4 linked regions of the Arabidopsis thaliana genome follow. The protein of the gene in region 3 purifies or fractionates together with the protein of the main gene of each other region. This does not show direct contact. Each region holds a gene or a part of one and is shown on either strand. Other genes may lie near its edges.

What was found.
Region 1: the proteins of AT1G79990 (region 3) and AT4G34450 fractionate together in Arabidopsis thaliana (co-fractionation; one large-scale study listed by BioGRID). This does not show direct contact.
Region 2: the proteins of AT1G79990 (region 3) and AT1G30630 fractionate together in Arabidopsis thaliana (co-fractionation; one large-scale study listed by BioGRID). This does not show direct contact.
Region 4: the proteins of AT1G79990 (region 3) and AT4G31480 fractionate together in Arabidopsis thaliana (co-fractionation; one large-scale study listed by BioGRID). This does not show direct contact.

Annotation. Positions count from the first base shown.
Region 1 is NC_003075.7:16,469,037-16,476,736, forward strand, and holds the start of AT4G34450 (coatomer gamma-2 subunit, putative / gamma-2 coat protein, putative / gamma-2 COP), read left to right. Parts: upstream 1-1,699; 5' UTR 1,700-2,919; coding exon 2,920-2,965; intron 2,966-3,189; coding exon 3,190-3,338; intron 3,339-3,440; coding exon 3,441-3,554; intron 3,555-3,644; coding exon 3,645-3,845; intron 3,846-3,924; coding exon 3,925-4,026; intron 4,027-4,460; coding exon 4,461-4,568; intron 4,569-4,648; coding exon 4,649-4,882; intron 4,883-5,021; coding exon 5,022-5,272; intron 5,273-5,404; coding exon 5,405-5,576; intron 5,577-5,649; coding exon 5,650-5,805; intron 5,806-5,876; coding exon 5,877-5,927; intron 5,928-6,109; coding exon 6,110-6,247; intron 6,248-6,326; coding exon 6,327-6,524; intron 6,525-6,605; coding exon 6,606-6,737; intron 6,738-6,821; coding exon 6,822-6,995; intron 6,996-7,191; coding exon 7,192-7,431; intron 7,432-7,564; coding exon 7,565-7,700. UniProt on the Arabidopsis thaliana protein: The coatomer is a cytosolic protein complex that binds to dilysine motifs and reversibly associates with Golgi non-clathrin-coated vesicles, which further mediate biosynthetic protein transport from the ER, via the Golgi up to the trans Golgi network.
Region 2 is NC_003070.9:10,857,729-10,862,003, forward strand, and holds AT1G30630 (Coatomer epsilon subunit), read right to left. Parts: upstream 2,595-4,275; 5' UTR 2,446-2,594; coding exon 2,275-2,445; intron 2,186-2,274; coding exon 2,096-2,185; intron 1,903-2,095; coding exon 1,751-1,902; intron 1,667-1,750; coding exon 1,531-1,666; intron 1,439-1,530; coding exon 1,283-1,438; intron 1,082-1,282; coding exon 1,002-1,081; intron 912-1,001; coding exon 818-911; 3' UTR 504-817; downstream 1-503. Other genes in the region: MUR4 (NAD(P)-binding Rossmann-fold superfamily protein), read left to right, coding at 1-242; AT1G30640 (Protein kinase family protein), read left to right, coding at 3,569-3,792, 3,969-4,143. UniProt on the Arabidopsis thaliana protein: The coatomer is a cytosolic protein complex that binds to dilysine motifs and reversibly associates with Golgi non-clathrin-coated vesicles, which further mediate biosynthetic protein transport from the ER, via the Golgi up to the trans Golgi network.
Region 3 is NC_003070.9:30,083,857-30,091,764, reverse strand, and holds the start of AT1G79990 (coatomer subunit beta-2), read right to left. Parts: upstream 6,016-7,908; 5' UTR 5,856-6,015; coding exon 5,853-5,855; intron 5,734-5,852; exon of another isoform or gene 5,597-5,733; intron 5,577-5,596; coding exon 5,556-5,576; intron 5,471-5,555; coding exon 5,409-5,470; intron 5,333-5,408; coding exon 5,278-5,332; intron 5,173-5,277; coding exon 5,136-5,172; intron 5,057-5,135; coding exon 4,731-5,056; intron 4,622-4,730; coding exon 4,490-4,621; intron 4,348-4,489; coding exon 4,199-4,347; intron 4,086-4,198; coding exon 4,017-4,085; intron 3,881-4,016; coding exon 3,733-3,880; intron 3,639-3,732; coding exon 3,573-3,638; intron 3,290-3,572; coding exon 3,101-3,289; intron 2,978-3,100; coding exon 2,837-2,977; intron 2,651-2,836; coding exon 2,576-2,650; intron 2,452-2,575; coding exon 2,275-2,451; intron 2,186-2,274; coding exon 2,094-2,185; intron 2,015-2,093; coding exon 1,898-2,014; intron 1,741-1,897; coding exon 1,626-1,740; intron 1,542-1,625; and 12 more. Other genes in the region: AT1G79985 (structural molecules protein), read right to left, coding at 6,571-6,578, 6,697-6,923, 7,020-7,243. UniProt on the Arabidopsis thaliana protein: The coatomer is a cytosolic protein complex that binds to dilysine motifs and reversibly associates with Golgi non-clathrin-coated vesicles, which further mediate biosynthetic protein transport from the ER, via the Golgi up to the trans Golgi network.
Region 4 is NC_003075.7:15,261,491-15,268,405, reverse strand, and holds AT4G31480 (Coatomer, beta subunit), read right to left. Parts: upstream 5,253-6,915; 5' UTR 4,331-5,252; coding exon 2,216-4,330; intron 1,989-2,215; coding exon 1,479-1,988; intron 1,387-1,478; coding exon 1,301-1,386; intron 1,227-1,300; coding exon 1,022-1,226; 3' UTR 1,021-1,021; intron 938-1,020; 3' UTR 515-937; downstream 1-514. Other genes in the region: AT4G31470 (CAP (Cysteine-rich secretory proteins, Antigen 5, and Pathogenesis-related 1 protein) superfamily protein), read left to right, coding at 6,103-6,660. UniProt on the Arabidopsis thaliana protein: The coatomer is a cytosolic protein complex that binds to dilysine motifs and reversibly associates with Golgi non-clathrin-coated vesicles, which further mediate biosynthetic protein transport from the ER, via the Golgi up to the trans Golgi network.

The sequences.
Region 1 (7,700 bases), on a different chromosome or scaffold from region 3:
ACCGTTGTGATAAAATTTCCTTTTTGTTTCTGCTACTCAAATAAGAAAAGGAAACAATCAAAATTTCCTTTTTTCATTGAACAAACGTGTACTTATAAATACACCCCTTCTCTCTTCTTCCTTGAGAAAAGTCTCCATTCTCTCTTCTTCTTCCTGGAAACCTAAACCACGTAAGGATTTGCTCTGAATCTAAATATTGACGTGGAGAAGACGCGATCTTACTAATTCTCCATTCTCTGCTTCAACTTCACCGTAAGATTGAACAAACCTTTACTTATATATACCTCTTCTTTCTTGAGAAATCCAAATTCTCCATTCTCTCTTCTTCTTCCAAACCAAAACCTAATTCTCCATTCTCTGCTTCAACTTCACCGTAAGATTGATCGGTTGATAAAGCGGCTCTTTTTGGTGATTGATCTCTGTTGTGACTACATCTTAGGTCAATTCAGATTGCTTTCATATCAAGTCTCTCCTAATTTCACAAGATCAAAGATCCCGGCCATGGATTCAGTTGTCGACGGCGAAGGAGAACACAAACGACGACTAAGGATGCGAAAGTGGGAAAGAGGGATATAACGAAGACATGGACAATGAAAGCAACGAGCAGTATAGAACCAAATCAATGGATCATGATCTGTGTTTGGTACTAGGTGTTTCCTTGGCGTCGACGAGATCTTTTGAAAATCTTGTGTTTCGTCGATATCACAAGCAAAGGTATTTTCTTTTTTCCTTTTCTATTTTTAATGATTCATTTTTTACTAAATAAAAATTTATTTTTAGATTTTTTTATTAAGTGTTAAAATTTTCAATTTTGTGTAAATTAATTTAAATTTTTAACACTTGTTTTTGTTTTTATTAAAAACTGTTTTTAAACCTATATTTTTATACTACTATTAAAGTTTTAAGGTTTTTCTTATTAAATATTAAATTTTTAAATTTTGTGTAAACTAATTGGATACATCATCCAATCCCCTAAGAGGTGTTCTAGGTTCAATAGATGGTTTACACATCATTTAAATTTTTAACACTTGTTTTTTATATTTATTAAATAAATGTTTTTAAACCTAAATTTTTATACTACTATTAAAATTTGAAGTTTTTTTTTATTAAGTGTTGAATTTTTAAATTTTGTGTAAACTAATTGGATACATCATCCAAACCCCTAAGAGGTGTTCTAGGTTCAATATGGTTTACACATTATTTAAATTTTTAACACTTGTTTTTCTTATATCAAAAATATGTTTTAAACCTTTATTTTTATACTACTATTAAAGTTTTAAGTTTTTTTATTAAGTGTTAAATATTTAAATTTGTGTAAGCTAATTGGATACATCATCCAAACCCCTAAATAGTGTTCTAGTTTCAATATGGTTTACACATTATTTAAAGTTTTAACACTTGTTTTCCTTATATTAAAAAATGTTTTAAACCTATATTTTTCTATTACTATTAAGATCTTAAGTTTTTTTTTTAATTTTGTGTAAACTAATTGGATAAATCTTAACTCCTAAGAGGTTAGGTTCAATATGGTTTACATATAATTTAATTTTTCTTATATTAAAAAATGTTTCTATTTTTATTTTACTATTAAGATTTTAAATTTTTTTTTGTTAAGTGTAAAAAATTAAAATTTTGTGTAAACTAATTGAATATAACATTCAAACCTGTAAGAGGTGTTTATAGGTTCAATATGATTTATATATAATTTAAATAGTTTGCTATTTTGTTTAGAATCAAAATATTTTTAAATGACATGTTGTAATAATTGACCAAAAGAAATTAGTGTGTGATTTTGTTGAAATGCAGAGTACAAAGCCTTAATTTATACCAAGTTATGGTATCTATAACGTATATGAATACCAAAATTTTATTATTTTTAATTGGTGTTGTATTTTATAATTCGAAATAATTAGGGGAACGGGCAAAACCTCTCTGTTCTCTCGCTTATATTTTTTTTAGAGAGAAAGCAAATCAGTTTCAACGATCGGATATTTTCTGGTGTTAGCCGTCCTGACTTTTTGGGCTTTCTGTCCGATATCACCGGCTCTGGTAGCGGTGTTGGTTGGCTCTAGTCCGGCAGCGTCTTGTTCACATAACCGGTGGTTGCTGGCTCTTGGTTTCTCTCGTCGATGTAGATCGATTTTTAATCTGTGTTTTTTTATTTTCATGTTTTGTTTTTAATAATTCTCATCTGAGACATGTTGGTGATAGAGTGAATGCAATCTCGCTTTCTAATGCTTCTTATCCGATCTGTTCTTTTTTAAGTTTTGATTTACAGAAATTTTTGGAGAAATTTGAGAATGATGTTGAAGAAAAGAAGTGGATTCTGTTGTTAATTATCATAGCCTTAAGCTGTTGTATATTTAACATGAGCCTCGATTGCTTTTTATCGGTGAAAAAACAAAAAGATCCATGTTCTATGAGACTATCGACGGTGATTCTTTCACCGAAATCGGTGCTCAGACGGCGAAAATGAAGTCGGTTCGCTTTAGAGTACTCATCTGACACGTATATTAATATATCGACATGTGGTTTGGGATAGAGTCAAACTATAGTTTCTTCTTCTATGAAAGACTCTCTGTTGGCCTATTTGGTCCTAAATCGTTTCTGTAATCGCGGACTTTTCTTTAAGCTTTGACTATCTTGATTAATACAATATTTCTCTTGGGACAAAAAAAAAATAATCTTAGTATTTCTTTAATATTTTTTGTTTGGGTATGGGCTATTGGGCCGCTTCGAAAAGTTCACTTTCTCTATCGATCTCTCACAGTTTCTGAGTTCTCTGACTCAAAAACATATAGTAGAAGAAAACGATTAGAGATCTTCTTCTTTCTCCTGTTGCATCTGAAGATAAAGGAAACAGAAAGCGCGAGATCTGAGTGACGGAGTAATTTCAAAGGGAGGTTTTCGAGATCAGAAATGGCGCAACCCCTCGTGAAGAAAGACGATGATCACGACGATGAGTGTATGTGTTCTCTCTTAATCTCCTTATAATTTTCGAATCAGCTGGTTTTCTGCAAAATGTAGATCCAGATGTTAAGCTTCTAGATCTGTTATCATTCAACAGTCGTGATTGTGATTTGGTTGTGTAGATCTACAATCTCAAGTCCGATTTAGTTTTGTTTACCGCATTCGATCCCGGTGTGAATTGCTTTGCTTATTTCGATTTCTGATTTTTTGTTGGATCAGTGGAGTATTCTCCATTCATGGGAATTGAGAAAGGAGCGGTTCTTCAAGAGGCTAGAGTCTTTAATGACCCTCAGGTTGATCCTAGACGATGCTCCCAGGTCATTACGAAGCTTCTTTATTTGCTTAACCAAGGGGAGTCATTCACCAAGGTCAGTTAATTTTTTTGCTTATACTGATTCGATGTCATGCTTATGGAGAATTGAATTATTGTGTTCTTATCCTCTCGCGATGGTTGTTTGTTTCATATGCAGGTTGAAGCAACGGAAGTTTTCTTTTCAGTTACAAAGCTTTTTCAATCAAAAGACACGGGTTTGAGGAGAATGGTCTACTTGATCATTAAGGAGTTATCTCCATCATCTGATGAGGTCTGTAAATTTTACTCAATTTCAATACGAACATCGTCGCACTTATTGTAGGTATATTTTCTGATAAGTTGTTGGTTTTTTCGCCCATAGGTTATCATCGTAACAAGCTCTCTGATGAAGGATATGAATAGTAAAATTGATATGTATCGAGCAAATGCTATCCGTGTCCTCTGCCGGATAATAGACGGAACCCTTCTCACTCAGATTGAGCGATACTTGAAACAAGCCATTGTGGATAAGAATCCCGTTGTTTCAAGTGCAGCTTTAGTCAGTGGGCTTCACTTGCTCAAGGTACCTTTTACACACCAAAACTATTAGGTAGCTTCTTAATTGTAATGTTATGCTTATATTCGTATATTGCTGTTTTCAGACAAACCCAGAAATTGTTAAAAGATGGAGCAATGAAGTTCAAGAAGGTATTCAATCCAGATCAGCCCTTGTTCAGTTCCATGCCCTAGCTTTGCTCCATCAGGTTAGTTTGTTGCATTATTATCACCGAAGTCGATTGGTCTATGTTTCTACTCTTTGTTTAATTAAACAGCCACTGAGAAGAAGTATCTCGGAAAATGAGAGGTGTTACTATGTGTATTGGACTAGATTCATAAATAATAAGTTTTCTGTAGCAGCATCGTAGCTCTTTACTACGGCCTTTTCCAGCAATTTTAGTTTCTTGTGAGGTTTAATCTGTGTCTGGAGTCTGTCTCAGATACTGCTGATTCTAGCATATGTAACTAATTAGGTTGGTTAGGACAACCTATTTATGTGTCTAAGATGTACGAGTTACCAAATGATATGTATTGCTGCTGTTACGTTGATTTAAAATGACTCCCAACATGATACACTCTCAATCTTTGATCTAATAACTGTCAATCTTTGATCAACTTGATAATCTTTCATCATATTCAGATACGCCAAAATGATCGCTTGGCTGTTAGCAAATTGGTTGGTAGCTTGACCAGGGGATCTGTCCGCTCTCCCTTGGCTCAGTGTCTTTTGATACGTTACACCAGCCAGGTTATTCCTCTCTTCTGTTTGATCATTTGATAAGTGGCTGATTGTATATGTGTTATTTAGCTCTGGTTTCTAATATTCAGGTTATCCGTGACATGGCCAACCACGGTCAATCTGGAGAACGTCCGTTCTATGAATTTTTGGAGAGTTGCCTGCGCCATAAGGCAGAAATGGTGATCCTTGAGGCTGCCAGGGCAATTACTGAGCTTGATGGTGTGACAAGCCGAGAACTGACTCCAGCAATCACTGTTCTTCAGCTCTTTTTGAGTTCCCCCAGACCAGTGTTGAGATTTGCCGCTGTCCGGACTCTGAACAAGGTTTGCAATGCTTTCAACTGTTCTCTTTGTACATTGACACCGAAATGATGTTTTACTATTCTGGGTAGATTCATCATTACCTTTATCATGAGGATGAGGAGATATTTCACTGTATACTAAACACAAGTTTGAACCACAGGTTGCAATGACTCATCCTATGGCTGTCACCAACTGCAACATTGATATGGAGAGTTTAATCTCTGATCAAAATAGAAGCATTGCTACACTCGCAATAACCACACTATTGAAAACAGGGAACGAATCAAGTGTAGAACGTTTGATGAAGCAGATAACTAATTTTATGTCAGATATTGCTGATGAGTTCAAAATTGTGGTCGTGGACGCAATAAGATCGTTGTGTGTGAAATTCCCACTGAAATACAGATCCTTGTAAGTAAAGTTTTAGGGTTTGTTATTTGTAGTTTTGGTCTCGAGCATTTCTATTTTTTTGAATGATTAAATATGTTATGGTATCTTTTTAGCATTTGGCTTATGATTGATCTATCACCTTTTCATTTGTAGGATGACCTTCTTAAGCAACATTCTTAGGGAAGAAGGTGGATTTGAGTATAAAAGAGCAATAGTAGATTCTATTGTGACCATTATCAGAGATATTCCGGATGCAAAGGAAAGTGGACTGCTTCATCTATGTGAATTCATTGAAGATTGTGAATTCACATATCTTTCAACACAGGTAATTATTCCATCATCCATCTGGGGTTGCTATTAAAAACTTATGTGTTATTGAAATGTTTATTCTCGCACAGATCCTTCATTTTCTGGGAATTGAGGGGCCTAACACCTCAGATCCAAGCAAGTATATACGATATATATATAATCGTGTGCATCTAGAAAACGCCACTGTCCGGGCTGCTGCTGTTTCCACACTTGCAAAGTTTGGGTTTATGGTTGAATCCTTGAAGGTATAGTCATCATAACAACCATTATTTTTATTTTCCGTTTATCTTCTTTGACTGATGATAATGCTCGACAGCCCCGGATTACTGTTCTATTGAAGCGTTGCATCTATGACAGTGATGATGAGGTGCGTTCCTAGTCTTAGTCTAGAAAAGCATTGCTGTTTCTGTATGTCTGTTTGTTTTGAGTCGTTGCATCATCAAACATGCATGCATGTGTTTGCCTCTGTAAACATTTTCGGATGCATGCAATGCAAGTTGTTTGATGATTCCTTCCTTGCTCATGAGTCAGACATCTTTTTATCTTAAGGTCCGTGATAGGGCAACACTATATTTGAGTGTTCTTGGTGGTGATGGTACTGTTGACACTGATAAAGAGAGCAAGGATTTCCTATTTGGTTCCCTGGAGGTTCCTCTAGTCAACATGGAAACTAGTCTGAAGAATTATGTGAGTTAATCTATTTCTCGGTTTTCTCCTTTTCAATATTCTTAGGACATCAGTTATCTTATATCTGGGATTCCTGCAGGAGCCCTCTGAAGAAGCTTTTGATATCAACTCCGTACCTAAGGAAGTTAAATCTCAGCCCCTTGCAGAGAAGAAAGCCCAGGGTAAAAAGCCCACTGGTCTTGGTGCACCACCAGCTGCACCTGCTTCTGGTTTTGATGGCTATGAAAGACTTCTCTCATCCATTCCAGAGTTTGCCGCCTTTGGAAAACTTTTCAAGGTTAGGGGCTGATTTGTCTTCTGTGTTATTCTAATGTTAATGGCTTATCTTGTTTGCTTTAACTTGTACTTTCTTTTTCAGTCTTCTTTACCTGTGGAGCTAACTGAAGCAGAAACAGAATACGCTGTCAATGTTGTTAAGCATATCTTTGACAGTCATGTGGTGTTTCAGTACAACTGCACTAACACAATACCAGAGCAGTTGTTGGAGAGGGTACTGAACATTGGTGTAGAATATTAGTGTCAAGCATATCTTATCTTTCTTTCCTCATTTAATTAATTTGGCATGGGGTTGTAGGTCAATGTCATTGTAGATGCTTCAGAAGCTGAGGAATTCAGTGAAGTAACTTCAAAGGCCCTAAACTCACTTCCTTACGATTCACCCGGTCAAGCCTTTGTGGTTTTTGAGAAGCCAGCTGGGGTCCCTGCTGTTGGAAAGTTCTCCAACACATTGACTTTCGTTGTTAAGGAGGTACATGTTAAATAGGCTATTCACTTCCATCTTTTTATTTACTTACACTGAAAATGACCCCATAATACTTTGTGGAGAACTCTTATAAACAACGACTCATTTGGAGAGGAGTACCAGAACGACTCAAATTAATCACAGAAAACAAAGAAAACTCTCTAACTACATTGTTTGTGCTTTTATGAATGTGTTAAAACAGGTTGACCCAAGCACAGGTGAAGCAGAAGATGATGGAGTAGAAGATGAGTACCAGCTAGAGGATCTTGAGGTTGTAGCTGGAGATTACATGGTGAAAGTGGGTGTCTCCAATTTCAGGAATGCGTGGGAAAGCATGGATGAAGAAGATGAGCGTGTAGACGAATATGGCCTTGGCCAAAGAGAGAGTTTGGGAGAAGCTGTAAAGGCTGTCATGGATCTTCTTGGCATGCAGACTTGTGAGGTTAGTCTCTTCCACTTTTTTCTCATACTCTACTGAGACTTGAGGGCTAAAATTATTGTTGATAAAGTCTTTTTTGAGTATATGACCATTTGTTGTGTTCCTGAAATTGAAACTGACACTGGATAAATAACAGGGGACGGAGACAATTCCGCTCAATGCAAGGTCACACACGTGTCTATTGTCAGGTGTGTACATAGGCAACGTGAAAGTGTTAGTGAGGGCACAGTTTGGAATGGACAGCTCAAAGGACATTGCAATGAAGCTGACAG
Region 2 (4,275 bases), about 19 Mb from region 3:
CGGTGAAAGAGTTTGTTGAGGCGTGCAAGAAAGCAACTGGTGTTGAGATCAAGATCGACTATTTGCCTAGACGTGCAGGTGATTACGCTGAGGTTTACAGTGATCCAAGCAAGATTAGGAAGGAACTTAACTGGACAGCTAAGCACACTAATCTCAAAGAGAGTCTTGAGACTGCATGGAGATGGCAGAAGCTGCACCGTAATGGCTATGGCTTAACAACCTCATCGGTCTCGGTTTACTGACTTTGTTCATTCCTTTGGTGATGGACGGAGATTTTGATTCCAGATGGTATTGAGGAGAGAAGCGTAGGAGATGATGATGGTTTATATATAAATATAACACAAGATATATTATCCATATTATGAAAAAATGATATCACATGACGAGATTTTTGATTGATATTCATTTTGTAATGGCTTTAGGTTCTTTTAGGAAGCAGCCATTCATTAGTATATGTACCTCTCACAATATTTATTGATTAGTCTTAATAATATATAGCATTCCTGGCTTTTAATTTGTAAAGCGGAATTTAGATCTAAGCTCCGTGTTGCATACATTAGCGAATGTTTCGTTTTCAAAAGTCTGCCTTTTGTCTCATCAGTTATGGAGATTCTGGATTTCAAGGAACAAGATCTGTAGTTCTGTTGGATTCGAAACTCAATGAAAACAAAAGCTTCAGTGAGAAATCAAAGTAAAATGCAACATATCCAATGGAAAAAACTGTTTATCTATGATAATTTCAAGATAGGGTCGGTAATAATATGATGTTCTTCTGGTAGATCATAAGGCAAATTGATTCCATGGACTTTGAGGTACTTCAGGCGAAAGATTGAAGTGCTCTCTCGAAGTTATCTTCAGCTGATGCTGCTCGCTTCACAAGGACGTGTTCTGGATGTGAAAGTTTCAGCTGGCTGCAAAAGGATTGGAAATGGAGGAATAAGTCAGCTTACTGATGCACTTGTTGTTATGCAGAAAATGCAAAAGGTCATGAATATTTATACTTTAGGTAGCGAGAAGATGATTTCCCGACGTGAAGACTGCATACAACGAGGTTTGCAAGAGTTTCTGGGTCTTTAGCATCCTGCAATGAGAATAAACATCTATGATTTCAAACTTGTCCATTTTATAATAAACGGAATAGTTGAAAAGTTTAGATTTGGTGTAAGGAGTTTTCAAGTATCCTCATAGATTTAAATCGAGTGAGCATTTCCGATGACATGATATTGAGAATGGGTTGTGTCGATACAGATTTAAGGAAAGAAAGAGTAGGTTCATCACTCACCTTGTTGAGTGCTTCAAGTAGTAGAGTCTCAGCTTCTTCAAAATTACCCATATGCATGCAGCAAACTGCTTTGCCGTTCAAGATCAAGCTTGTCATTGGGTACTTCTCAGAGAAATCCTGGAAGATTAGATAAGCTTCCTGTATCTTGGAACCACCCTGAGATCATAAAGAACAATTTCATATTAAGAAACACATTAACAAACTTCTCTACACTATATGGAAAAAAGAAATGGATATTCATATCATACTACTGCCAGATTCAACCACGCGCTCGCGAGCTGAGTGAGTGTGTGGTCTTCATCAATCTGTTGCATCACTCTCAGTTGTTTCTCCGCAAAATCTGATCTGTGCATCTTTATGAATATCTGGACATTCAAAGCATGCCTAAAATATGCAGAAACAACAATCATTTATCGAGTAAACGAAAAGAGATCGCTGTGACAAGACAAAACAAATCGAAAAGCTCACAGATCCATGGTTCCTCCAGAATGAGTGTGCTTCAGAGCCTCATTATAGTCTTCCTCATGCATGAATATAGTACCAGCAATCAACCTGATAATAGCATTGTTTCCTACAGTTGGATCTGCCAACCATTCCCTCAAGCTCGAAATGGTTGATTCCTAACCAAAATCACAGAAACAACTACGTATTCAACAATGCAGATCACTAAAATAAGATCAAGATATATTCAATTCCGGATCTCTGAAGCTAAATCATCAAAAGAATCCTAGAATTCTACTAAAGTTATCTGAAATTCCGCTAAGCAAACGTTACAGAAGATGAATTGAAACATCTCAAAATCTCTTGAATTACCTTGTTTTCAGGACTCGATAGATACATAGCAAGGAGTTTCACTGCCTGTAGAGGAGTAGCAGCGGCTTCATCGATCTCACTGATGACAAGCTACGAAGACGAAATTTGAAAAACGTAAATCAGCAAATGATCAAAACAAATTGAAATCCAAATCGAAAAACACGAGACGGAAGCAAAACCTGGTAACTTCCGAGAGCGATGTAAGCGCGATGGACGAGACAGTCTCGCTCGACGATATCTTCCTGCGAAAGATTAGGGATCTCGCTGTTGTTGATCGCAGCTTGATAAGCACCCAAGTAGAAATGGTTTCTCAAATTGAAGAGATGATCTGGTCCTGCCATGGATGCCATTGTCTTAGCTTCTTCTTCTTCTTCTTCTTCTAGATCTCACAGATCCGTGTCTAACTCCAAAATAAAGAAAACTGAAGTGTGAATAATCAAAACCAAAAAAATATGACGCCTTAAGATGTACATAAAGCCCCATACATTTTGAATGTTACAATTGACACTCATTGTTATCTATTTTAGGCCCAATGGGCTTTTCGATGACCCAATTAGTTCGACACTCTGCTTCTCTTTACACGTCTCCTACATACGGACGGTGACAATCTTGTCTTACCAATAAAACGCGTTTTTATCCAATTCGCGCGGGAGTTGTTCTAATGACGTTAGCAAACCACTCCGTTCAATCGTGCTGTCACGTTATGTCGACAAACAAATCCAACAATTTACTGACACGTGTCATTTAGCTTCCCCAATAAATGACCCGGGAATAGTTAAAAGCCGGTTTACCAGTATTGGTTTTAATCAGCCACCGAGTCATCGTGACTGTAACTTAAACGGCGTTTACTGCTTCAAGATAAAATACGCTTTGCCCAAAAAACGTTATTAGTTCGTAATCCGTTTTTGCTCTCCCTTTTGAGATCTTTTAATTAAAAAAATTCCGTTTTAAGTGAATGCGTGTAAGCAACAGTTCGAATTCGAAGCGAGAGCTAAAATCAAAATCTCTCTGATTTGTTGTTTTGTTGATGTAAGTTTCTTTGATCCTTTCGCGAAATTTGTCATCTTCCCCGATCGAGTTTTACTTTTTCTTTGTGAATAGTTTGACTTTTCGTTTTTCTTCTTCTTCAATCTCGCATGGTGTTTGTGCGTATCTTGTTTGGAATTGGAGTTTGTAACTATTTGATTATAAGCAAGTTTTGATTCGAATGCATGCGTGCAATCCACAATCCAGAACTAGATGTATATGTATCTCTATGTCAAGAGTGATTAAAATCGATTCGTGTGGAATTAACTTGGAAGTGAAAGTTTTAATATTGTTTCCGGAATTTACGGTGAGATTTTAGGTGTTGACCAGCGTTGTTAGACAAGAATTTGTCATCAATTTGATTTAGTTTTGAAGCATTTGGGTTTTGGAATTTTGTTTTGATTTTCTGCAGGTTTTATGAAGTGATTTGCATTAGATTGGATTGAAATGGCTACGGAGCCTACAAGGAGCTGGTTCCAGATACGGCAGCAGAAACCGGATAAATCAAGCCCTACTAAAAAGGGACAAGAGGGAAATGTGAAGAATCTTGGGAGACCTCCTATGAATGATGCACCATCTAATGCTACTAAACAGAAAGTTGCTGCAGCGAAGCAATATATCGAGAATCATTATAAAATTCAGAAGAAGAGTCTCCAGGAAAGAAAAGAGCGGTACGTTCTCGGGATTCTTCTTGTGATGCCAATATTTACTTCTTGTGCTTTAGTTGTTACAAATGGAACTTCAGAGTAGTCTTATTTTCTAGTACTGATGGTTGGGTCTGATTTAGGAATTAATCTGCTACTGGTTTAGATTGAACCTTCTGATATCAGCTCGCTCTTGAATACAGTCGGAGCATCTTGGAACAAAACCTAGCTGATGCTGATGTTACTGTTGAAGACAAGATGGATATATTAAAGAACTTTGAGAAAAAGGAAATGGAGTATATGCGTCTACAAAGACAGAAAATGGGGGTTGATGACTTTGAACTGCTTAGCATCATTGGCCGGGGTGCTTTCGGTGAGGTATATCTCTTTATGTGTTCTTTGTGGTTGCCTCTCTTATTTTTCACTTCCTTTTTGTAAGCTTAGCTAATATCTTGTCTCATCTTTACATATAAAATTTGATGTTGCTTCTTTTTTAGCTCTCTTACTGGC
Region 3 (7,908 bases):
CAAATCCTATGATATATGTGCAGATGGCAAAAGGATATTTTGGTGCAGCGACATCTTATAATCAATTGATAACCACAAATGCTATAAGGCTGATGCGGTTCCTTCACTAATCTTACCCCACTGTTCTTCAGACTCGTTACCATTAACTAGCACAGCACCATCCGTAGAGTCAGCGTCCACCACAACAGCCTCTTCTTCCACATTCTGCTGTCTCCCATCACTACTCTCTTCCTGACGATCCTCCTCCTCCTCTTCCTCTCCATCTTCCCCCTCTTCCCCAACCTGTTCACAACAAATGAAGCAGCGACAGTAGAATTAATGATCCTACCATTGTCCACCATGGCCAAGACCATTGGATTGGATATCATGGGTAAAAGACAATCCTCTTCAATGCATGTAATGTAAACATGCATACCTCGTCGAGAACATCCCCTTGCTCAAGTCGACCCTCTTCCTCTATTTGCATAATTCTAAAAGCATCCACTAAAGTTGTATGATCTCTGTCTGCATGACTACAATAATCCCCAGCAGGAGGATGGACGCCCCTGCAAGATAAGTCAACAAAAATACTTTGTTTATGAGGATCCTGAAAAAATGAAATCGACATTCGGCTTATGTTTATACGGGTATAAATTCAAATTATAAGCAAATACATGACGGCTACCTTGCTATGTAATACAGACACATGACTCTAAATGGCTTAAGTCCCACAATTCAATTAAAAAGGTTTCCTCATAAGCACTGTTTTTAAGAATAAGCTAATGACGGCAACGACGAAAAGATACCTCGTCTCTGCAGCTCTATTTTCAAGGGACAGGGCGACTTGCCACTCCTCAAAGAGATTGGGATACTCTTCGGGATCAGCCAGAGATTCAGCAGCCTTTGGACTTATCTATATCCAGATTGACAGAGGATGAAGAAAAATTGTGGATATCTCAACAGGCAAGGTTTGAAATTCAATCACAAGGTGCATCGGATGTGTCTACCACTAACCTTGGTCAAATCGTTTCTCCACAATGCCACTATTTCGGAGACCTTGCTTGGAAGGTACGATCTCGCCATCAGAGCGGCTTCAGGTATTCGATTACTGTAACCATATTAATATCAGCATAGACGTAATTAGTTGCGGGAATATATGTTCCACATGTAAGAAATAGTAAACAATGTACCTTTCCACCAACAGATGCAGGCAGTCTTCTACTTGACCCAACATGAACAAGCAAAGAAAAGCGACATTGTTCTTTCCTTGCTCTTTTGCAAGTGCTGCCAGCTTCATCATTCCATCTGCATCTCCCAATGAAGAATAAAGCAGCAGCAGACCACTCAAATCCATAGCATGCCTCATGCATTCCTCAGCCATATCCAGCTAAGTAGTCCAAGCATGGGAAGGAAAATGAAAAGAAAAATACATGTTAGCTTTAACCTTTGTAAGAATCCTAGAACACTGATTGCAGCTAAAAAATGGTCACCTTCCCACTTGACATAGCTAATTCTCCAAGTTGCTTCCATTTAGATTCATTTTGTGCCTCTACAGCAATGTCCTGTCAAAAAATAAGAATCGAGTAAAAACATATCGGTAAGTCATGGAAATAAAGCTTCTCAAATGGTAAAAACTACAGACTAACCTTTGCGACAGCCAATCTACCGAGCTGTATGGCCAACTCAAATCTGTAGTCAGGATCAGTTGCTACTTCTAGAGCATCTTCTGTCATGCCACGTGACTCCAAAAAGTGTGCCACGCTGACAAAACGAACAGGATTTTGAAGTCGAGAATCAGAAAAGTAGGAATGCGTGAATTTAGGAAAACAATTTAAACCATTATGTGACCTTGGATACATGTTTACTAACACCATAATCCAGCTGTAACCATAATGCGAGGGAAAGCACATTCTCATACCTATTATGGTGCTCCTTAGGAATTGAAGGTAAGACTTCATTAGCCTGTTCCAAATCTCCACGCATCACAAGAGTCTTGTACTCAATCAAACTTAAAAGTAAAGTGTATCCAATAACACTGTAATCATAAAGTGGACACAGAAGTCAGTAAGTTACAAAACATTGTTAGCAATCATAACAGTAAAACATCTGCTTACTTGAACTCTTTGTCAATCAAATAAACCCTGCTTTGATTAGCGAGATAACCCAACAAGTACATAGGACGGTCCAGATGATACATTGTAGTTACCTGTAATATAAGAGGAGTACTGAATCTCAATTACAACAAAATAAAAAACATAAAACGTTTCTTTCCAAAAACCTAGAAATGAGCCTTACCTCACCACCAACACAGTAATTAAGCCTCCAAGAAGAGTTGGTATAGATAAAACAATCCCCAACCCATAAGCCAGTCCGAACACGTTCATTGGTTTCATTGAGAAGCTCAAATGCGTCCTCAATGCCTTCCTCATCAATTTGTTTACCGCCATCAAAATAAGAGGAAACAATGTCACGCTACAGCAGAACAGTAAGAAAACAGCTTAAAACCATGTCTCGAACAGCAACAGTACTAGGAAAATAAACTAAGGAAATGTACAAGAGTTCTGGCTCACTACCAAGGTTTAAAAAAGATCCTCACATTGAACTTAAGGATGTAGAATGATGTATCACTGGCAATTGCAACTAGATCACCACTGTCCGCCCAATAAAGATTCTGAAACATTGAATAAACAAAAACGTTAAAAGTGAATAAGCGAGCAGTACCAATCTGCTTTTGCGTTTAAATTTCAGATAAGGAACTCTTTTGTATTTCTCCAATAAAAATATTACTGAAAACGTAACCTATAAACTATTTTCTTGTAGAAACTAATGGATCTACTTCTGGTATATAAGCACTTACTTTGACAGTAACATCTATTCGCCTAATCAACCTACATTCCGCCCAATCATAGAAGCATATAAAATCACTTGAGCACATTGTCAATAACGTCCCACCAAAAATGTGCTCTGCTGAGAAGGTGGGTCTCACAGTCTTCTTTTCCTGCAAATTAAACAAGGGTATCAGCATAGGTTAGTGTATTTCAGATAACAGAATAAGACACAAAAAACAAAAGCTTTAGAGTTAATCAGTCGGAAAAGGAACGTGCCAAAAGGAATTACAAACCTGGAAATTCTTGCTGAAGATCTTGATCTTTGTCGAGCTTTCCCTGACAGCATGCTCCCCATCAGATGACCAAACAAATTCTAGCGCAGAGCCAAATGACCTATTTCGCCACGCCAAGGCAGTGTAGATAATATACTCACCATCTCCACAAACTACCACAAACCTACCATTAGGGTTGTGCTTCAAGCTCTGAAAAAGCAAAAAATTAAATAATAGAAACATAAATGACAGTGGGTAGTCACAAAATTAATAAATGATTTAAGGTCATATTTCTTACTAATACCAGTAATCTATCAAACTGCCCAAAAATAAATAACTAGAAGCAGGAAGCAGCAATTCAAGAAAAACATTAGCACTACATATCCAATATATCTTCCATAAATGTAGAAATGACAATCCAGAGATACAAAACCACATTTCCTTCATTGTTTAAAGGGAGTAACAATTATACAATAAGAAGGATGCCACTTACTTGAGGATAAAGATCGCAGGTCCCTAGCTCTTTAACGGCCAAAGGAAGTCTCTCACCATCAGTGACCTAAGTAGGCTCAGAACCAAATGATAAACATTGCCAAACATGAGCTAATTTTCAAATACACAAGGCAACAATGTAAAAGTGTTAAACCCCAAACCTCATCTGCGCCCACACTCTTGATGTTTACAGTATGTATCTCATTGTGTTTAGCCCAAATAATTTTTCCGCTGTTATCCATACTAGCCACTGGTATTTCACGGCCAAGTTTCACCATTATGGATCCTTCGTCATAACCAATTACAACCCTGGAAAAAGACAAGGTATTGCCATCTCGTAAGTTATGAAGGAAACATAAATTTACACAAAGAAATAATTATGATGTGAAGATATATATCTTTAATAGGGAATAAATATTGACATAGTAAAAGATCAGAAACTTACCGGCGTGAACCTTTAATGTGTCCAATAGCCCAAACCCTCTCAAGGCCATAGTTCAATGTATTCTCAAGCCTAGATGTCAAGTATTAAGTAAAAAACTGTTGGATGAAGATTTTTGAAAAATTGAAGGAAGTTTTTAAAGACAAAATCAATAGCAGCTCCAATGCAGACAGCATACGAGTTACCTGTAAGTGGTGGCGTGCCATATGCGAACAGTTCCATCCTCGGATCCTGTAATAATTATAGGTAGCTCTGGATGAAAAGATACTGCAGAAACATTGTGTGTATGACCTTCGAGAGTCTGAACGCAACTCTTTGTTTGGTAATCCCACACCTGCTTCCAGAAGAAATTTATGAACAATATACAAACAGAAAACCCTGCACGAACCTATATACAAACAATACAAATGGAGATACATACAAGCACACATATGTAGCAAACAACTTGCAAAGAAGCAAGAAAGCTCAGTACAGACCTTAGCAGTATGATCATCAGAACCAGTGATTAGGTATGGTTTATCCCCACCAGTAAAGTAGTCTACACAGTTTACCCCTTTGAGATGTGCATCCAAAGTAAAATTTGGATCCGGAGAGCCAAGATTCCATATCTAGGTAAGAAAAGATGTAGATACAGGAAAACAAATGTTAAGCTTCTCATAATGGGAAATTGGGAATGAAAGAAGAAGGTGTAACTTAAAAGTTGAAGACTAATCTTACTTTTATGGTACGGTCAAGGGATGCACTAGCAAAAGTATTGGTGTCTTTGGGGTTGAAAGTGACTTGCATAACATAATGGGAATGGCCTTCGAAAATTTGAGTGCAAAGCCAACCCTTTTCCCAGTCCCAGAGCTTGATGAGCATATCATCAGATGATGATAAGACATAGGGAAGCGTGGGATGAACAGCAACACAGCGAATGTAATCAGCATGAGCCTCAAATACTTTGATCTTATCCATAGTGTTGTAGTTGTAGACACGAATAAACATGTCATCAGCTCCAGCTACAACCCACTGCTTCCGTGCAATGAACTTTGCTGACCGAACTGCACAACACCAGGACAGAGATTCAACAAATGATGTGCGAAAGAATAAGAAGGAACAATGAGATGCTATATATCATACCAGGCAATTCAGTCACGTCGAAAGATTTTACCATTGTCTGCAAAAGTCATATTTGGGTTAACAATAATCAGAAGGGAGCACAAAATATAAGAGTGAAGACCAACAGATAGAAAGTAAGATAAAAGCAAGAGATGATACTAACCTGGGTCTGGTAATTCCAGATGCACAGAGTTCCGGAATACAAACTTGCCAGGATCCTGAAACAATCTATGGATTAGTACTTGTTTCCTTAACGATATATAAAGCAATGAAGAATGAATGCGCTCAAATTACCATGGCTCTGTTGGATGGAGATCTACAGATTTGACTCTTTCTGATCTTTGAGCAAACTTACGCTGATCAAAACAAAGAAGCGTGTCAATACAGTCCCGAATAAGAATGATTAAGGATGAAATCGAGCATCAAAGGAGACTGCATTACCTTGATTTCGAGTCTCAGTGGCTGTCAACAAAAGAAGCAAACACTTAGGTTAGTGCCGAAGAGAGAAACAAAAAAAAAAATAGCTCGTACAAAAATACTTGATGATATTCTGAGAAACCAAAACACGGCATAGTAGAAAATATCGTTCGATTTAGGGGATGACTGAAGGAACATCAAATTTTAGTGCAATGAGGAACACTCTTACGTAGACTAGCCCAGAAATGAGATTTCAAGTAAAAAATTGAAAGAGGATTCAGAGGTAGATCTATGGAGAAACTGAGAGATCATGTCACTCACCATCTTTGCAAGTCCAAACGAATGTCTGAACCGGAGATCGGATTATCGACGGAAATGGCCCCTGATCGCAGGGGGGATCAGAGATGACGAAGAAGAAGAAGCGCAGTGGTGGTGATCCCACTTCCAGTGCGCGTTGGCGATTTGGATCTGAATCTGGGTCTAGTAGGATCTCTAATTCGACGTCGTTTTATCACGCGTTTTTGCTCTTTTTTTTAACTTGACCGCACCGTATATAGGAGATGTTACATTTTGACGGACGGCCCTTTTTACTTGTTAGTACACAGTAATTTTCCCCCCCAAAAAACAGTAAATTGGAAGGATTCAATTGGTGGTAAAAGAGTATGATGAATGAGACACTGGTTTTAAAACACACAAAGCTGCACCAAGTAGAGGATAGAAGAGAAAATCCAGTATAAACAAAAAAAAGAAGCAACATGAAATCAATAACCTATTCGAGTCTAATGTTTTTTTCATACAAAAGAACAAATTGAAACGTATTCCAAAGTCTTAGTATTTGAAGTCACTAAAAATTGCAGTCAGAGTTGGTGCACCAGTGTCCAACATTGTTGCTTGGCTAGCTGAACTTCCTTTCGCCCATTCTACTCCTCTGATTTCATCTCTGTACATCACAATTGTTAAGAGTACTAGGCTCTACTAGGCTCTACGAGTCGCGCTGCTAACCCACAAGAATCTTCATCACTTGTTCTTTCACCAATCTTCAAACCCCTGCAGCAGCAGCATAGGCAGCCAAATTTAATTTCATGTTAAGTCAGTCTTGAGAAAGTAAAAGGTAAAGATATGCTTGTTCACACAGAGAGATTTCAAGAAAGAATGATCATCTTACTTGAGTGGAAGCGATCCATAGGGATCTCTCGCTGTTCGCGTTTAATGCACAAGTACTCAGCTAGCAAAGCCATAACAGCGAGTCCGGTTCCATTAACAACCCACCACGCCATAGAGGAAGGCCATCCTCCATACATGATGCAAAAGAAGAGATGTATGATGTAGAGAGTTGCAGAGAAATCTAAGCATTTCCGTGCTCGCTCCACCAAAAATATCATGTACACAGCCCTGCCAATTAAAATGAATACAAGGAATCTGAAAAGACTAGTAATAAAGAGGGAAATAAATGGATGGATACTATTACTAGGGGGCAAAGCAAAATACCCAGCGAGTGAAGAGAAGAGGAATGAGGCAATAACAGACCAACCGGTGAAGGTGGAAGTAGTGAGAGTAGCGTAATCGAAGAAGTAGACAAGACTAAGGCGAGGAACACGAAGGCCAAGAAAGACCATGGTGAAGAGTCCAAGAGTGAGATAGTAAGAGCATTGGAGGCAAATAATCTGGCCAACGATAAGCCAAGGGTCCCATACAGCTGTGCCATAGAACATGGCTGCTGCAGCAAATTGATACACCAAAATTTAAGTGTCCCTATATCAAAATTCCCTATATCTCTACCTAAACAAAAACTCTGCTGCAATAATCAAATACACAGCTAACGAGATCTAGGAAATCCCTAGTTTCGATTTACATCCTCAATTACAGATCAATTCGGAAAACCCACCTAAGATCACGGAAGGCTAGATTCGCGAAAGGGAGAAATCAAACCGGATCCGATGAATTGGCGCAGCTAGAGATGCACCAACGACGCCAGATCGATAATTCTCCAACGATTCAGCCAAGTTCCTTCCGAGAGCATGGAAACGCAGCAAAAGCACTTTTTCAGAGAGAGAGAAACCTCGACGAGGTCTTGGTGGTAACGAGCGACCAGAAAACAGAAAGAAGAAAGAGGAAAGAAGAAGTTTTGGCTTACCATGTTGTTCATGATATAAGTAACAAGAATGACCGCATAGCGCAGTGGATTAGCGCGTTTGACTTCGGATCAAAAGGTCGTGGGTTCGACTCCCACTGTGGTCGACTTTTTTTCCTTTTTCTTTTTTTTTTGCAACTTAGCTTTTCTTTCCAATATTGTGTTTCAATCATTCTTGTATCCCAAAATAGAATAAAAGATGCCCTATCGATAATATCCATTTTTATTCAGCAACGTGAGCCACTA
Region 4 (6,915 bases), on a different chromosome or scaffold from region 3:
ATTGATTGTTGACAAGCCCAGTCCAATAGAAGTTGAGAAAGCATAGCCCCTACTTTTTTATTGTTTCCAAAACGACCCCAAACTTTTAAAAGTGAGCGTAATTAGGAATTATGTCAGTTTTTCCTTGAAACGTGCTCCAACTTTCGGTTAGAGATGGATGATTTTATGATAGAAGATGATGTATTTGGATCTTTCCTCTTCTACTCGCGTCTAGTATTTTCTTGTCTAATGATGTTAGCGATATCTAGTTACGCGAATGTGTATGTGATCGTCCCTTGGTACCTTGAGGCAAGTGATTTAAGATTATTAAATTTTGCTTAAAAATTATTGCTTGGTTTTCTTGAGAATAGAAAAGGCTGTAAGAATCAAATGTTATGGGTTTGGTTGTGAAGCAATTGGTTTCTTTGGCTTGTAGATTTTGAATATGGTCCATATTAATACATGCGTTTCATTACAACTTACTTGCTAACATAACCCGTATTATATAGCTACTAGCAAATTAAAGTCTAGCTTTGACAATTGAATAGTTCACTTCAAATGCATATGAAAGAAAAGAATAGAGATCAAATCTGAAATGACGAGTTCTAAAATGGAGCAAACCAAATGTAGCTTTGAAATCTACAATATCATAAAGTTCACGGTTTAAAGTCCTCAACAAACGACATTATAGAAGAAAAAGCATTACAAATAAAACAAAATCGTCTAGTACAGTAAAAAACACACTGCCATATGAGATGAAGAAATCCATCGGTACCATACCAGAAAATATACCGGTTAAGTAAGAACGATAGCCAATTACTCTTTTTACATATACCCTTGAACGCCTCCTCCCTCCATATAATAAGCAGATTCAACCAACGATAATTGCTCAAGAGAAACGTACGTAGTCTAAACCTGTTACCTTTGCACGCCACTGTGAGAAATCATCGGTATGGTACTGAAATTTAGACCAATTGCGGTTTAAGGATTAAAACATGTATTAATCGAGAAATAGAATATGTTTTGAAAAGATTAGCTAACCTCAGCTACTACCCTTTTGTTTGAGGGTGATTTTGTCCCCAAGACTTAGGGCAATCCCTTGCGTCTTGCTCCTTATCCTTATGTAACCACTCAATGCTCCATCCGTTTGCTTCTCAATACTCACATTCACAAGAGCATCCTCACCAAATACACTTTTTGCGTATAAGTTTGCTGCAAGGAATCCACATTCGCCTTCTATTGCGGATCTGCAAGTAAAGAAGTATTAATTAGTAAGAAGAGTTTTTCGTTTCTACAGGATGAAAGAAGAATTTACACTTACGGAGCAGTGAGACATTTCATGTTTGTAGATTTGATAATGTGGTCGAGGAATTCTCTTTCGTTTTGTATTGTGGTGTTCACAGCAACCTGACATAAAGAATACAACAGGAATTGGTTATACCAAACTCCAACAAACATACGAAAAGAAGGTACAACTATAAAAGGTTTCAATAAATTACCTTGTTTTCCCATTCGAACTCTGCCCACATAGTTCTGAAAGCAACCTCTGAACACACAGCAGGGGAGATATAGTCCATGATATCAATGTGTATGTCATTAAGAACAACGACGTTTCGCTCCATTACATTTGATGTCTCATAGACGATGTTCCCGAATATGACTCCCGTCTCTGTGGACGACACCTTGATGTTTGCTTTAATCTGCATGCTTCTTTCAGGTGCCAGACTGTAGTTCTGAGGACGCTCAACAAGTTTGAGATCACCCATGGTTGCTAACTCCAAGCACAAGTTCTGAAGGGTTTCCTTGGTTCGGTTGATTACTGTAACTTCAAGAGCAATATCATAATGGTGTACCGTCACATATGCTTCAGCATAGACTGGGTCACTGAATCCTGTGAGTTGAAGAATGCGGTTAAGTTTGTTAGCATCGTTCTCGTCCTTGGTGAATTCTCCAGTTGCACGCTTTAGGTCATCTTGTACTTGGTCTTCCAACTCAAGTTGACTCATTCCCTGAAAGAAACTTATCGTCAGTAATTTCAACTACTGACCGAAATAAATAAACATAACATGCCACTATCAACTTTCGAACTTTCTTTGAGAATGCGAAAAAAAAAATTGGATATGAACTGTAAGAAAAAGTAGACACCAACGTAACAGAACTGAACAGATTGAAAAGGAAAACTCATATGGAAAAAAAAACCCAATAAAGCAAAGGGAAGCTTAGGAAGTAATAATACCTTCCGACTCTTTAGATGGAAGAAGTCAATTAGATCATCAGGTTGAGCATGCGTTGTTTGGGTCTTCGCCTTCAGTTCCTCCATCTCTCTAAGCTGTTTTTCAGAAATCATCTTGACAAAACTCTGGCGGCAGGATTCTAACCATATCTTTTTCATCTCATCATTCCTATGGCAAAGCAATTTTATGCACAACACAATCCTCTCATACGAATCATTATCAATAGGGTGTGGAGAAACAGGAGATTGCCCAAGTTGCAACATAGAAACCATGATCAACAAAGCCTGTGTGACTGTCTTATTTACTTCAGTTTTAGAAGACTGAACCTCTTCTAACCTAAGAACAAGTTTGGTCAACGTGCAAGCAACCACTGCTCCGAGGAAAAAATCACCAGTTAGTAGCAGTGCTCTCAAATTTCCAGAAGTCAGTGATCCTTGAACAACTGTAGGTGAGGAGAATGTGGTTTCAGAGGCTGCGCTTTGGGTAGCATAAGTTCCATCAGCAAGAATCACTGGCTTTCTAGAGGACACCATGGCAGAAGAGGTAGGCTGAATCTTCTTTGATGTCTCAGTTGGCTCAGACTCCTCAGAAACAGAGTAAAATGGTAATTCGCCAAGGCATTGCGTGATAGTTGAAATGCCACTCTCAACTTCCGAAAGTGATAGGCAATACTCCCCAATTATCCAAAGGGCACAAGGGCAGACCTTTCCTGCTCGGATCTGATAGAACGTGTCCAATAACCTTGTGATGATTGAAACTCTTAACTTGGGATTTGTTTCTATTATCTCTCTAACAAAAACAACCACGTCAAGAGCTGAAGCCACATTGCTATCTCCCAAGAAGTCCATCAGAAGGTGGACCACTGTGCTTGCAACTTCGGGGAACTTCACTGCACAAGCGTGGATGGCTTGAATAAGCATTTGTCTGTACTCCCCATTCTTCTCAAGTTCTCCACTCTGTGTCTTCACAACTTCTTTCTTCAACATTTGAACGACCTCATTGATATTATGATGGGTAATCAAGTCAAGGGAAATGTCAAGCGTCTTCCTGCGGATATCAAGGTTTGGGCTTGAGAGTGCTCTGAGCACATCTATTATCAACTCAACCATGATATCTCTGTGCAATGTCTTAAGCTCATACAACCGATCGAGTAAAATAAGCTTCACATTGTTGTCACTCTGAGAAAGAAGAAGTTGGCAGTAGGTGTTGGCAGCAGCCCGAATCGCAGTAGGGGCAGATGAGAGAGAAACAAGTGTCCCAGCACATTCATAGATAACTGCAGAAGAAGTAGCACTTAACAGAGAAATAATAATCTTAATATATTTCCCCTTCTCTGCTGGTTTAGTCTTACACACACTTCGAATCAACTCCAGCACCACCATCTGAAGTGATTCATTCCAGTCTGAAACCTTGTCAACATTGCTCAGAAGATAATTCACTGCACGTTCTTCAGCACAGGTAAAGAGCATTAGAAATGCATTTCTCTTGGCAGAAGGATCTTGTTCGGTTGATAGAACTTTCTCGATCATTTCAGGCGCATCCACAAAGAGTTGGTCGCCTTGTGGAAGCTTATATATCGACATGATGGCCAGAATGGCATTCCTGCGAACAAATGGATGGCGATGCTCCAGATTTTGTAACACTGATGGAGTTAAAGGCTCCACAATTTCAGTCTCCTTCATCCGGCAGAGAAACCTCAGTGTCACTCCACGGATGTACTCATTAGGATGCTGAAGGTTATTACGAAGATTCTGGCATATCAAAATCATTTCAGGTAACACCTTCCCCTTAGAATCAGTCTTTTCAATCAGCTCCAGGTACAGCAACAGAAGCTTTTGGATTGTGTGGTCCTCAGAAGGTAGCACATATCTTATAATGGTTATGAAAAGCTGAGGAATGGTTTCACCATTCAGCAAAAGCATAATTGCCTTCTTCATGGCATCAACTTTAGCTTCAACATCATTTCCTTCGAGAGCTTCTTTAATCTCATTAGCAACTGCTGGAGTCCCTTTGTCATAGTGAACAAGCATGGTACTAGATTTGTCCATCTTCTCCGGTGCTGCACAAAAAGTGAAAGAGAAAAAAATCTGTGAGCTCAAATGAAAAGGAAAAACCATTCACGAACAAGTGTTCCTTTGTTAATATAAGAAATAGAAGATGAATAGAGCAAAATTGTTACAATTGATTAAAGACATAATGAAGTATAGATCACAAGTAAAAACAAGATATCAAAACTTTTAATATTTCTGGCGATTTCAAGTTCGAATTACTGAATATAAGCACCTTACTAGTGTCCTCATCAGTGCTAGAGTAAGTTCTATACAAGAAGTTCAACAGTATCATCGGCGATAATCCATACCTCTCTGCTTGGATTTCAATACATTGAATACATGATCTCTATTCTCGAATCCGTGGTTTATGAGAAAACATCATAATTTCAGAAGAATATTCGGTAATGTCCAATCAGAGACCCAAAGATGCAAAACATTGACAAATCTAAATCCTCAGATCCAGCAATACACATCACTGTACTACAACTACGACCAAAATAATAACATAAAAACGAAAAATCAGTTAAAACAGCTTCGGATCAACCAAAATTCAAAAAAAAAAAAAATGCGATCTATCTCCCCAGATTAGATGAACAAACAATGAAATCTACATAATTCGCAGTCTCACTCAGCTGCACAAACATGAAAATCGGTTTCCTACCGGAATCAGATCAATATTCAACGAGATCAAACAAAGAGCGCCAGAGAATAATTGAACATTGTAGATTTTCACAAAGGAAAAGGCAAAAGTGGGATCGATCTCTATGAAATCTGAGTCGCAAGTTTAACACAGAGAGACAAACCTCAAAGGTACGAGATCCAGGGAGAGAGGAGGAGGAGATCCACAGTAACACAGCTTTGGATCCAAGAGAAGATTTTGGATCTCGGAAAACAAAACACTCGCACCAAGGAAGTGAGAGATCAAATGTGCTTAATATTATGGTGGTGGATTCGTCAGGTGAATTAACTCCTCCAAATCCTTTTGGGTTTGATTTTGGAAAACGAAGAACGGAAAAAAGCGAGTCAACCTCAAAAGCCCAAATATTGATTAACGACAAGCCCAGTCCAACAGAACTTGAGAAAAATATAGCCCCTATTGTTTTAATTGTTTCCAAAACGACCCCACACGTTATAAAATAAACTGAATACTGAAAGCATAGGACACTTTGGGTCAGAGTTTATAACCTAGCTAACAAACGGTGGTCAACTAAATTGATTTTTTTCGTCTATTTGATGTTCTATATAATATAAATTTAGTTAATCAACGGTAAGCTCAATGACTATAAGCCTCACAATACAAATTGATCTCCAAGGAATGTATAAGATTTCTTGAAAACAAGGCATCCAAATTTGTATCACGTTCTCTAGCACACCATCTGATACGCCTCATAAATCTGCATAGTAAACATGTTATAACTAAACAAGTATTTTAAGAGTGGTCAAATTAAATATCTAACTTAGGTTTTCATTTGAATGAGTTTGTATATAATGTTTTATGCTTGGGATATATTCTCGTTGCTATGATAAAGTCTCTTCTTACAAGAAAAAAAGAAAACATCCTATTAAAACTTCCTTCATATATAATGATCTATTAATTAGCTCAATAATGTATGCTTTGTTTGAATAAAATCATTCCCTACAAATAATCAATGTTCCACCGAAATGATTAGCACTTGTCATTGCGCATTATTAACATAGCATGTGTTTAGATTCGTTAGATGATATATACGTACAAATATGAAAGCATAAACAATTATGTGTGTGTGTGTATATATATATGGTAAGGATCGTACTAGCTAGATCTAGAGGCTCAGAAACAAATCTAACTTAGCATCCCAATGGAACAAAAAACTCTGATATTCATCATCATTATCATAGTTATCAGCACTCCACTTCCTTCTCTCTCTTTTCAAATCCCATCAAACAGAACACCGACAACATCAACACTAATTTTTTCTCAAGACAAAGCTCTAGCCCGCAACACCATTCAGCAGCAGTTTCTCCGACCACACAACATCTTACGAGCCAAGCTTCGTCTCCCTCCTCTCAAATGGAGCAATAGCCTCGCCCTCTATGCGAGCCGGTGGGCCAGAACCCGCCGTGGAGATTGCAAACTTATCCACTCCGGGGGACCTTACGGGGAGAATCTCTTCTGGGGAAGCGGAAAAGGTTGGACTCCACGGGATGCGGTGGCTGCATGGGCCTCGGAGATGAAATACTATGACCGGAGGACTTCCCACTGCAAGGCGAATGGGGATTGTTTGCATTACACGCAACTTGTATGGAAGAAGAGTTCGAGGATTGGGTGTGCAATCAGTTTTTGCAAGACCGGTGACACATTTATTATTTGTAACTATGATCCTCCTGGTAACATTGTTGGACAACCACCCTTTTGAATATTGTCTACACTTTATCTTTACCTTTATTTTCCTCAACTATGTACACTTTATCTTTGTTAATGTGAAATCTTGTTTTGATTCTTGTATGTTAGATAACGAAAATGATGAATTACGTTTTCTCTTGTCTGGATGTCATATATGCTAAACCTTTCGGGTAAGGTTTCATTTGTTATATAAGGCACCAATAAAACACATGATTTTTAGTGTTGCAATTTGTGTTTTGATATATCTTTGTTGCCGTAAAAAAAACAA